Ovis aries: one gene and its partner. The protein of the gene in region 1 binds, or shares a complex with, the protein of each later gene. Links are inferred from orthologs where the notes say so. Each region holds a gene or a part of one and is shown on either strand. Other genes may lie near its edges. The genes, in order: POLA2 and PRIM1.

Region 1 (3,821 bases):
ATTTCTTTGACTGTGCCGGGTCTTAGTTGCAGCATGTAGGATCTAGTTCCCTGACCAGGGACTGAACCCAGGCTCCCCTCCATTGGGAGTGCAGAGTCCGAGCCACTGGATCACCAGGGAAGTCCCACCAGCTGCTCTTTTGCCCCTGTGCTCACCATAAATCTTCTGGTTGTAGTCCGACTTTCCACATGTCCTGCCTGACAGAGAAAGATGTATCAGCCTGGGGATTTGAAGTTCCCATGCTTCTGGCATCTTTTTTCTAATAAATGAATAATCTGGCTAAAATTTGGGTTCCTGTGTGCTCTGAGGATGAGTTCCCCCCAGGGTGTGAGACTGCAGTCCCTCTGTATGTCTCATTATGGGTGGGTAAACCAGCCAATAGTATTAGCAGTGAGTCTCCTGAGCTTGCTGCGAGTGAGCACACCCCAGGAACGTCTCGAGCTGGTTTGCTGGCACAATCAGGCTTCACCACGTGGCTGAGGGCTGAGCCCCAAGGCTCTGCTCTTTCCCAGAGTCCTGTCCTCTTGCTTCATCCTGGGAGATGGACCTGGAGCTCTGTAGCCCCCTATGTATTAGAAGGGTCTTCGGGAAAAATAGTTTGAGAAAAACCTATTGAAACCGTAAAATCTTTGCCATCGTTTGGCCCAGTAATCGCTCCTAGTAAGAATCTCTCATAAGAAATTATCCAAATTCCAGGAAAAGCTATTGTGTGATAGTGAGCACCTCAGTATTTGTTGTCTCCAGAAACAGATACACCCAACAACAGAGAAGTAGTTACGTAAACTATTATATATCAATTCCATCAACACAGCTACCAGAAAGGATGAAGACTGACAATGTGGGAGAAATGCTCAGAATTAATATAGAGCAAAAAACTCATAATATACAATACTTCAATGAAGGATCATATTCAAACTAAGATTATAACTATTAGAATTTTTTCAATTGGAAAAATATTGAAATACTAGAAAGGAGTATTTTTAAATGGCTGTTGTATAAGTGTAGCACATAAGGAAGGGTCCTTTTAAAATCTAGTTTCCATTCCAGCCACTTAAGGGTGGTTTCGAATCCTGCTTTCTTTCTCCTTGCCTGTCCCTAGTCACCCCGTAGGCAGCTTTGGTGGCATAACCTAAACCCGCAGCCAGGAGGAGCCCAAGGGCAGGGGAACGCTGGCCAACTAGCCAGCTGCCTGGTTTCCCTCCAGCCGAGGATTTTGTCTTTGCTCAGCCACAGTCCGTTGTCCCAGACTCTGGGGAGCAAGGGATCTCGGGATTTGCCGGTTTCACCCTCCACTCCAGGCATCTCTTTGGATTCTTCTTGATGAGCAAAACCACCCAGAAAACAAAACTGACCATCAGTGAGGCGTGTGCTAAATACTCTCCAAGTATGAGCTCACCCGTGTTATCTGCCTGGAGTCACTCCCTTCTTTAATTCTGAAAATGTGTGGTAGACTTTGCCAGAATAAATAGTAACATGGTCCCATCCCTTGACAGGAAAATGTGTCCGTGCAGGTTAAAACTATGTGTGTAGCCAAACTCCCAGCTGTGCTAAAGCAGAGAGGTGGGGAAGGAAAATGAACACGCGAGCGATTTGACAGGACAGATCGCCTGCTTGGCAGTCCTGTCGGGGGATGTTGTTGGCATTTGTTTCTTAGTTGCCTCCCAAATGGAGACAGCGTACTGCCGAGGACTGTATTACAGTTGCTAAAGTCTGAGATTCTGCTTGAAAGATGGGGCCTTCAGAAGAAACCCAGCCCTGTGTGGTCTGTGCCCTTCATCCGGGCACGTCCCCCCTTTTTTCCTAAGGATATGCGTGCTTCACTTAGCAACCCGAGTCTAGAGTAACTGCGCCCTTCTCCTGCTTTGCTTCTAGGGTTCTCAGAAGCGAACTATCACTACCCCAGAAACCCCCCTCACAAAAAGAAGTGTGTCTGCTCGGAGCCCCCATCAGCTCCTCTCACCATCGAGTTTCTCTCCAAGGTATGGATTCTGATAATTCAGCTGTCAGGCAGCAGGCCCGCCCTCCCCTCTCTCTGGTTACCTGGTAGAGGCTGACACTACAACCTGACTTAAGGAAGAGAGGTGGACGTTTCCCTCTGCAGTCGACTGGCTAGAAGACCGACTGCTCCCTCCCCTCCCCGCCCTCATCCTGTGTGGAAAGTTACTGTTTCTTACTGGTAGTTAAGGAAACTCACTTTCCACCCTCTTTTCTAGGGCTCATTTCCTAGCTCAGAACCTGATACCTCCTACCAAAAACAACCTGTCTATTCAGAAGTTGGGGAGCCTGCAAGTCTCTTGCCAGGAGGAGGCTAATAGGTTTCCACCTGCTTCTGTTAGTTCATGTGTTGTTGGGTTTCTTTCTTTCTTCTTTTTTTTTAGGTATTTATTTTTAAAAAAGAAAAGCACATATCTTTGTTCATAACATTGCGTAACCTGTTCTTTGTTCCTCACTCAGGTTACAGCTAGTTGCTGAGAGTTTTCTTGTCCCTGAACCTACCCCAACTTCATTGGTATTTTATCCCTGCTGCCACTTCTGCACATAAATCCACAGGGATCACGTGTGACTTTTGGAAATCCATAAATGACACGTGTTCCATGAGAGAATTCCGTAGTGGGAGCTCTGCTGAGGAGAAGAAAGGGCTTTAGGTGCTGCCGCATCGGGATGGGGCAAAGGAACGGTGGCGTGAGCCAGTTAGGGCGACACTGGCTGCCAGGAGTCACTTCTAGACCAAGCAGAGCTTAAGACTTGCCAACCTAAGACTTTTCTGTCACATCAGAAAGGAGGTGATAGGGACCTCCCTGGGAGTCCAGTGGTTAGAACTCGGCACTTTCACTGCCGTAGTCCCAGGTTTGATCCCTGTCAGGGAACTAAGATCCCACAAGCCACTTGGTAGGGCCAAAACACACGAAAGAAAGAAAGGGAGTGCTAGCATTGTTCAAGATCAGAACGGGGTCAGATTCTTTTTTTCTTCAATTTTTTAATTTATTTATTTGGCTCGGCCTAGTCTTTGTTAGAGAAGGCAGTGGCAACCCACTGCAGTACTCTTGCCTGGAAAACCCCAATGGATGGAGGAGCCTGGTAGGCTGCAGTCCATGGGGTCGCTAAGAGTCGGATACAACTGAAGCAACTTAGCAACAGCAGCAGCAGTCATAGCTGTGGCACGTGGAATCTTTAGTTGTGGCATGTGAACTCTTGGTTGCAGCCTACAGGATCTAGTTCCCCAACCAGCGGTTGAACCCCGGGCCCCCTGCATTGGGAGCACAGAGTCTTAGGCCCTGGACCACCGGGGAAGTCCTCTGAAAGGTAGTTGGATCCTGAGGGCGGATTTGACTTTAGTGTGGCCCACTCCTGCTTTCAGGAGTTTTCACCCTGGCTTCCGAATAGAACTGTGTAGACTTAGAAGGGCATCTTTGGATGCACAGAGATGGCTGGTTACAGAGTGGTTCTCGTAGGTGCCAGCACCATGGCAGCAGTTCTGTTCTCTCAACAGCAAGACTTTGAAACTTGCAGATCTGTTTGCAACAAACCCCGCGTGAGCATCTCCCTGGGTTAAAGGGCCGGCTGTAATGTGTGCCGCACAGAGCTTCGCAGGGAGGAGCTTGGCGCAGCTGAGATGCCCTGCCTCGTCATTCTGTAACGCATGCCAGTAAAGCTGACATCAGAAACTGGCTTCGTAATTTATGAAAGTAACTTCTAAATTATTCAGGTGGAGGCAGCACTGGAGACAGAGGTCATTAGTCAAGCTCGTTTGCTGCAGCCTCTGTGGAAAGGAGGAACTGGCAGCACCCACTGTAACAGTGCCTATGTAGAACTGGTTCCCG
Region 2 (3,821 bases), on another chromosome or scaffold:
TTAACATCTGTACAGTAGATACCTCAGTGGTTTATGGTGAAGATCTAAAAGGTTAAATACTTAGAAAAGTGTCTGTCACATATTCAGTACTCCCACATTGCCTAGTTTTCTTTAATAGTCTACAATGACTCTGTAGTATATACATTTATATAGCCCCTTTTCAAATCTGCCAGTTATGTGTTTTTAGTTTATTTTGGTAACAAGCTTAATGTTTCTTAATGTTTCTCTTAATATTCTAAAGCTTCAGTGAGTATTCCCCTTATTTAATATTCAAGATTTGAGTAACTAATTACATTCACTCGTAAGTATACATTTTTATTATATCTTTTTCCCATTAAATGGCTATAGTCTTTTCACTCTGCCTTCTACCCGTAACTCTCAATTTCCTTAATTATTTTGTTAGTCACCTGCCATTCTTTAAATTCATTATCTCATTTTTCAGATATGAATTTTATCCTCATGTCCCAGATGTGGATTTTGTAAAAGGGTAATATGTCATTTATATTATTTCCAAAGATGCTCAACACATAGGTGTCTGTTTTGATTTCAGCAAATTAAAGTAATGAAGTAAACTACTTCCATCTATTTTGTGTTCCATCTTCAGGACTCACTAAATTTGAGATTGTTCCGTACGTACATATTGGAGGATATAGGGAAGAGAAAAACAGAAATCAAAATGGATATAAGAGCAACTAGGTAATAGCTCAGCAGTCTTTCACATCTATTTTTTGGTGTTTTTAGAGAAATAAAAGGCACTAATATGAAAGTACTTTTTTTTAAGACCCAATTTTATTCTGTTTATGTATTTTTTGAAACTTTTTGGCCACATGGCATGTGGGATCTTAGTTCCCTAGGCAGGAAGAGAATCATACCCCCTGCATCGGAAGTGTGGAGTCTTAACCATTGGACCTCCAGGGAAGTCCCGAAAGTACTTTTATATTTCTAAATAAATATTCTTAACAGATTAGTGTAACCCTCTTTCTAAGCCTTAAAGTTTTAGCCAAAAATAACTCATAGGACACAGCCTATAATTATTTGTATTGTACAATATTCAGCTTATAATTTTTTGTTTTTCACAGGTCGCATTTCTGTGCCTATTGACTTACAGAAAGTGGATCAGTTTGATCCATTTACTGTTCCAACCATAAGGTATGTTCCAGATCACTGATCACTCCTTTTTTGTTTGTGACTTGTAAATGTGAAGTAAATTGGATTAGATCCCTTCTGGAGAGGCAGCTTCTCTGAGGCTGTATGATGGTGCCCTTCCAGAAGAGCATTTCCTCGTGAGTTCTACAGAACACAAATTTTTCAGCTACTATTATGCAAAAAAAAAAAGTTCAAATAAGTTTGAGAAGTGTTGACTTAAGCAAAATTTCCTAGTCTTTAATATGCTAACATGCATGGAAAACTCCAGAAAGAGAGTATGATGTTTAGAATATCCCAAATTCATTTGGCCACATTTTTTTCACAGAAAATCTTGTGAGATTCATGTGCTTTCATACACTGGGTAATATTGACCAAGAATCAACTTTTAAATTATCTTCTATTATTTGTAGTTCCATTTGCCATGAGTTGGATGTTATTTCTACTAAAGAAGAAAAAGAGAATGGAGCTGAATCTGATATTAAACACAGAACCAGAGGTAGGTTAGTATATTGAAGTCTCACTTTAACATAATCTTTTTATATTGACGTCTTTCTGTGACTCAGTAATTAATTTGCCTTGGATTCAGACCAGAATGGATCATTATTTATCCTGAAACCAGCTCAGTAGCAAATAATATGATCACAATGTTTCTCTCCTTCATCAGTTGCCCAAATGGTGCTGTTGAATCCAATGTGAGTCTACAGATATTTACAAAATAACATTTAATGCCAGGATCTATACTGAAAGATTAAATTGTCAATTGATTTTGACAGTTGTTTGAATCTCACAGTCTTAGATTCAATAACTATCTACTTAACAACTACCATGTATGCAGTATTTCGTTCTCTACTTATTTTTGTATCCAGATGAGTGTTATGTTAAATATATGTCTAAACTGTAACTGAATTGTATATCCAATAATTTGAAAGAGATGGGAATATAAAACGGCCTGTTCAGTTCAGTTCAGTCGCTCAGTCGTGTCCGACTCTTTGCGACCCCATGAATTGCAGCACGCCAGGCCTCCCTGTTCATCACCATCTCCCTGAGTTAGTGAAAGTCAAATCTTATACCAATACCCAAGAGACACTATAGCAATAGTTCAACACTACTTTCTATGATGAAAATGTCATGCACTGTCCAAATGGTAATCACTAGCCTTTATACATGACTTTTGAGAACTTGAAATGTGAGAAACTGAATTTTTAGCTTCATTTAATTTAAATAGCCTCATGTGACTCGTGACTACTGTAATGGGCAGAACAGATCTCTGATTGATCTTTTTAGTCAAATGTTGCTACCTTGCTTTCAGAATCCAAGCTCAAATGTCACTTCATATATTTCAGCTCTAACATAAACAAGGTACATTCCTCCATCAATATTTATAGAATGATTACAAGCATTCTGTTTAAAATAATGGACAAAAGTCTCTAACAAATAAACTGGAAAATAATAAACTGGAAAAAAAAAGAACTCAGGGAAAATAAACAATGCAAGGAACAGAGGAAACCTTTTTTTAAAAAAACTGATCTCCTCAGAGATTAAGAGAAGACAGTGTATCCATGAAGCAAGACCAGAATGCTATGGGGAAAAAAACATTCAGAATAAGAAAGAGGTCTTAGAAATCAAAAACATAATCGTTAGAATAAAACTTTCACTGGAAGGGCTGGAAAAGAAAAGAGGAGACTTCCTAGAAAGTAGTGAAAAAAAAAAAAAAAAGACAAGTTAGTTATGTTTTTTAAGGAGGAAAAAGATAAAATTAAAGACTGATTCAGGAGGTCTAATATCTGACAGAAAAAGAACAAATAAAATAGGGAGGGAAAAAATTGCCAAAATTATATATGAAAACATCCCAGAAATGAGCCCTTTGTTAAAAGGGCTCAGCATAATGAGAATGATATGCCTACACCAAGGCACATCGTTTTGAAATTTAACAGAATTAAGAGAAGATCTTAAGAGCTTTCAGACCCCTTCCTACAGTCCCTCCCCACAAAAAAGCCATGGACCTAGGAAGAATGGCCTTAAATTTCTAAGTAAAAATGGAAGTATTCATTTTTAGAAGTAAGTGCTAGAAAAGAAAAAAGTAGTTGCCATTCAAGAAGATGGAAAGGTTAGCAGGGAGCTGCTATTTTTTTCCACAAAAACCTGTTAATACTATTTTACTTTTTTTTTTTTTAGCAAATTACTTTTAACACAACTTTTTAAATTTAATAATAAAAGAATAATAAATTTAATAGTATCTCTTTGTGGACATCTTTTTATTTTATTCAGAGGTTTTAAGAAAGCAAGTTTTGGCTCCCTATAAGGAGAAGCTTTATAATAAATATCTGTTCGGAAATAAACTGCTCTTTCAAGTATTCATACAGGCTATTAGCCGTGAGTAAGTCAGGGATGCTTTAGATGAGGTGGGAGGCTGGCATAGGTGATATATATAAGTTCTTATTATTTCTTTAATTTCTATGATTCTAAACTTTTGTCCATTTTCATATTAGTACCATTTGTTCCTTCCTTTCTGCTTCCCAAATACTGGTATGTTCTCTACCTTCCTCACTGACTATCTAATTAAATCTTTTTTCTAAGACCCAGTTCATAGCTACCTCAGTCAACTGTGATTGGTCAGTTCTTTGGACACAAAATTATCCGTATGCCTGTTTGGCCTTTAATTATATGTTGTCTTC

The links.
Region 2: POLA2 (region 1) and PRIM1 share a complex: the UniProt entries of both Homo sapiens proteins name them as parts of the alpha DNA polymerase complex. The link is inferred for Ovis aries from reciprocal best matches to the Homo sapiens genes POLA2 and PRIM1.

What each region holds. Positions count from the first base shown.
Region 1 is NC_056074.1:39,931,393-39,935,213, forward strand, and holds part of POLA2 (DNA polymerase alpha subunit B), read left to right. Parts: intron 1-1,872; coding exon 1,873-1,979; intron 1,980-3,821. UniProt on the Homo sapiens protein: Accessory subunit of the DNA polymerase alpha complex (also known as the alpha DNA polymerase-primase complex) which plays an essential role in the initiation of DNA synthesis.
Region 2 is NC_056056.1:162,928,546-162,932,366, forward strand, and holds part of PRIM1 (DNA primase small subunit), read left to right. Parts: intron 1-1,079; coding exon 1,080-1,149; intron 1,150-1,556; coding exon 1,557-1,642; intron 1,643-3,821. UniProt on the Homo sapiens protein: Catalytic subunit of the DNA primase complex and component of the DNA polymerase alpha complex (also known as the alpha DNA polymerase-primase complex - primosome/replisome) which play an essential role in the initiation of DNA synthesis.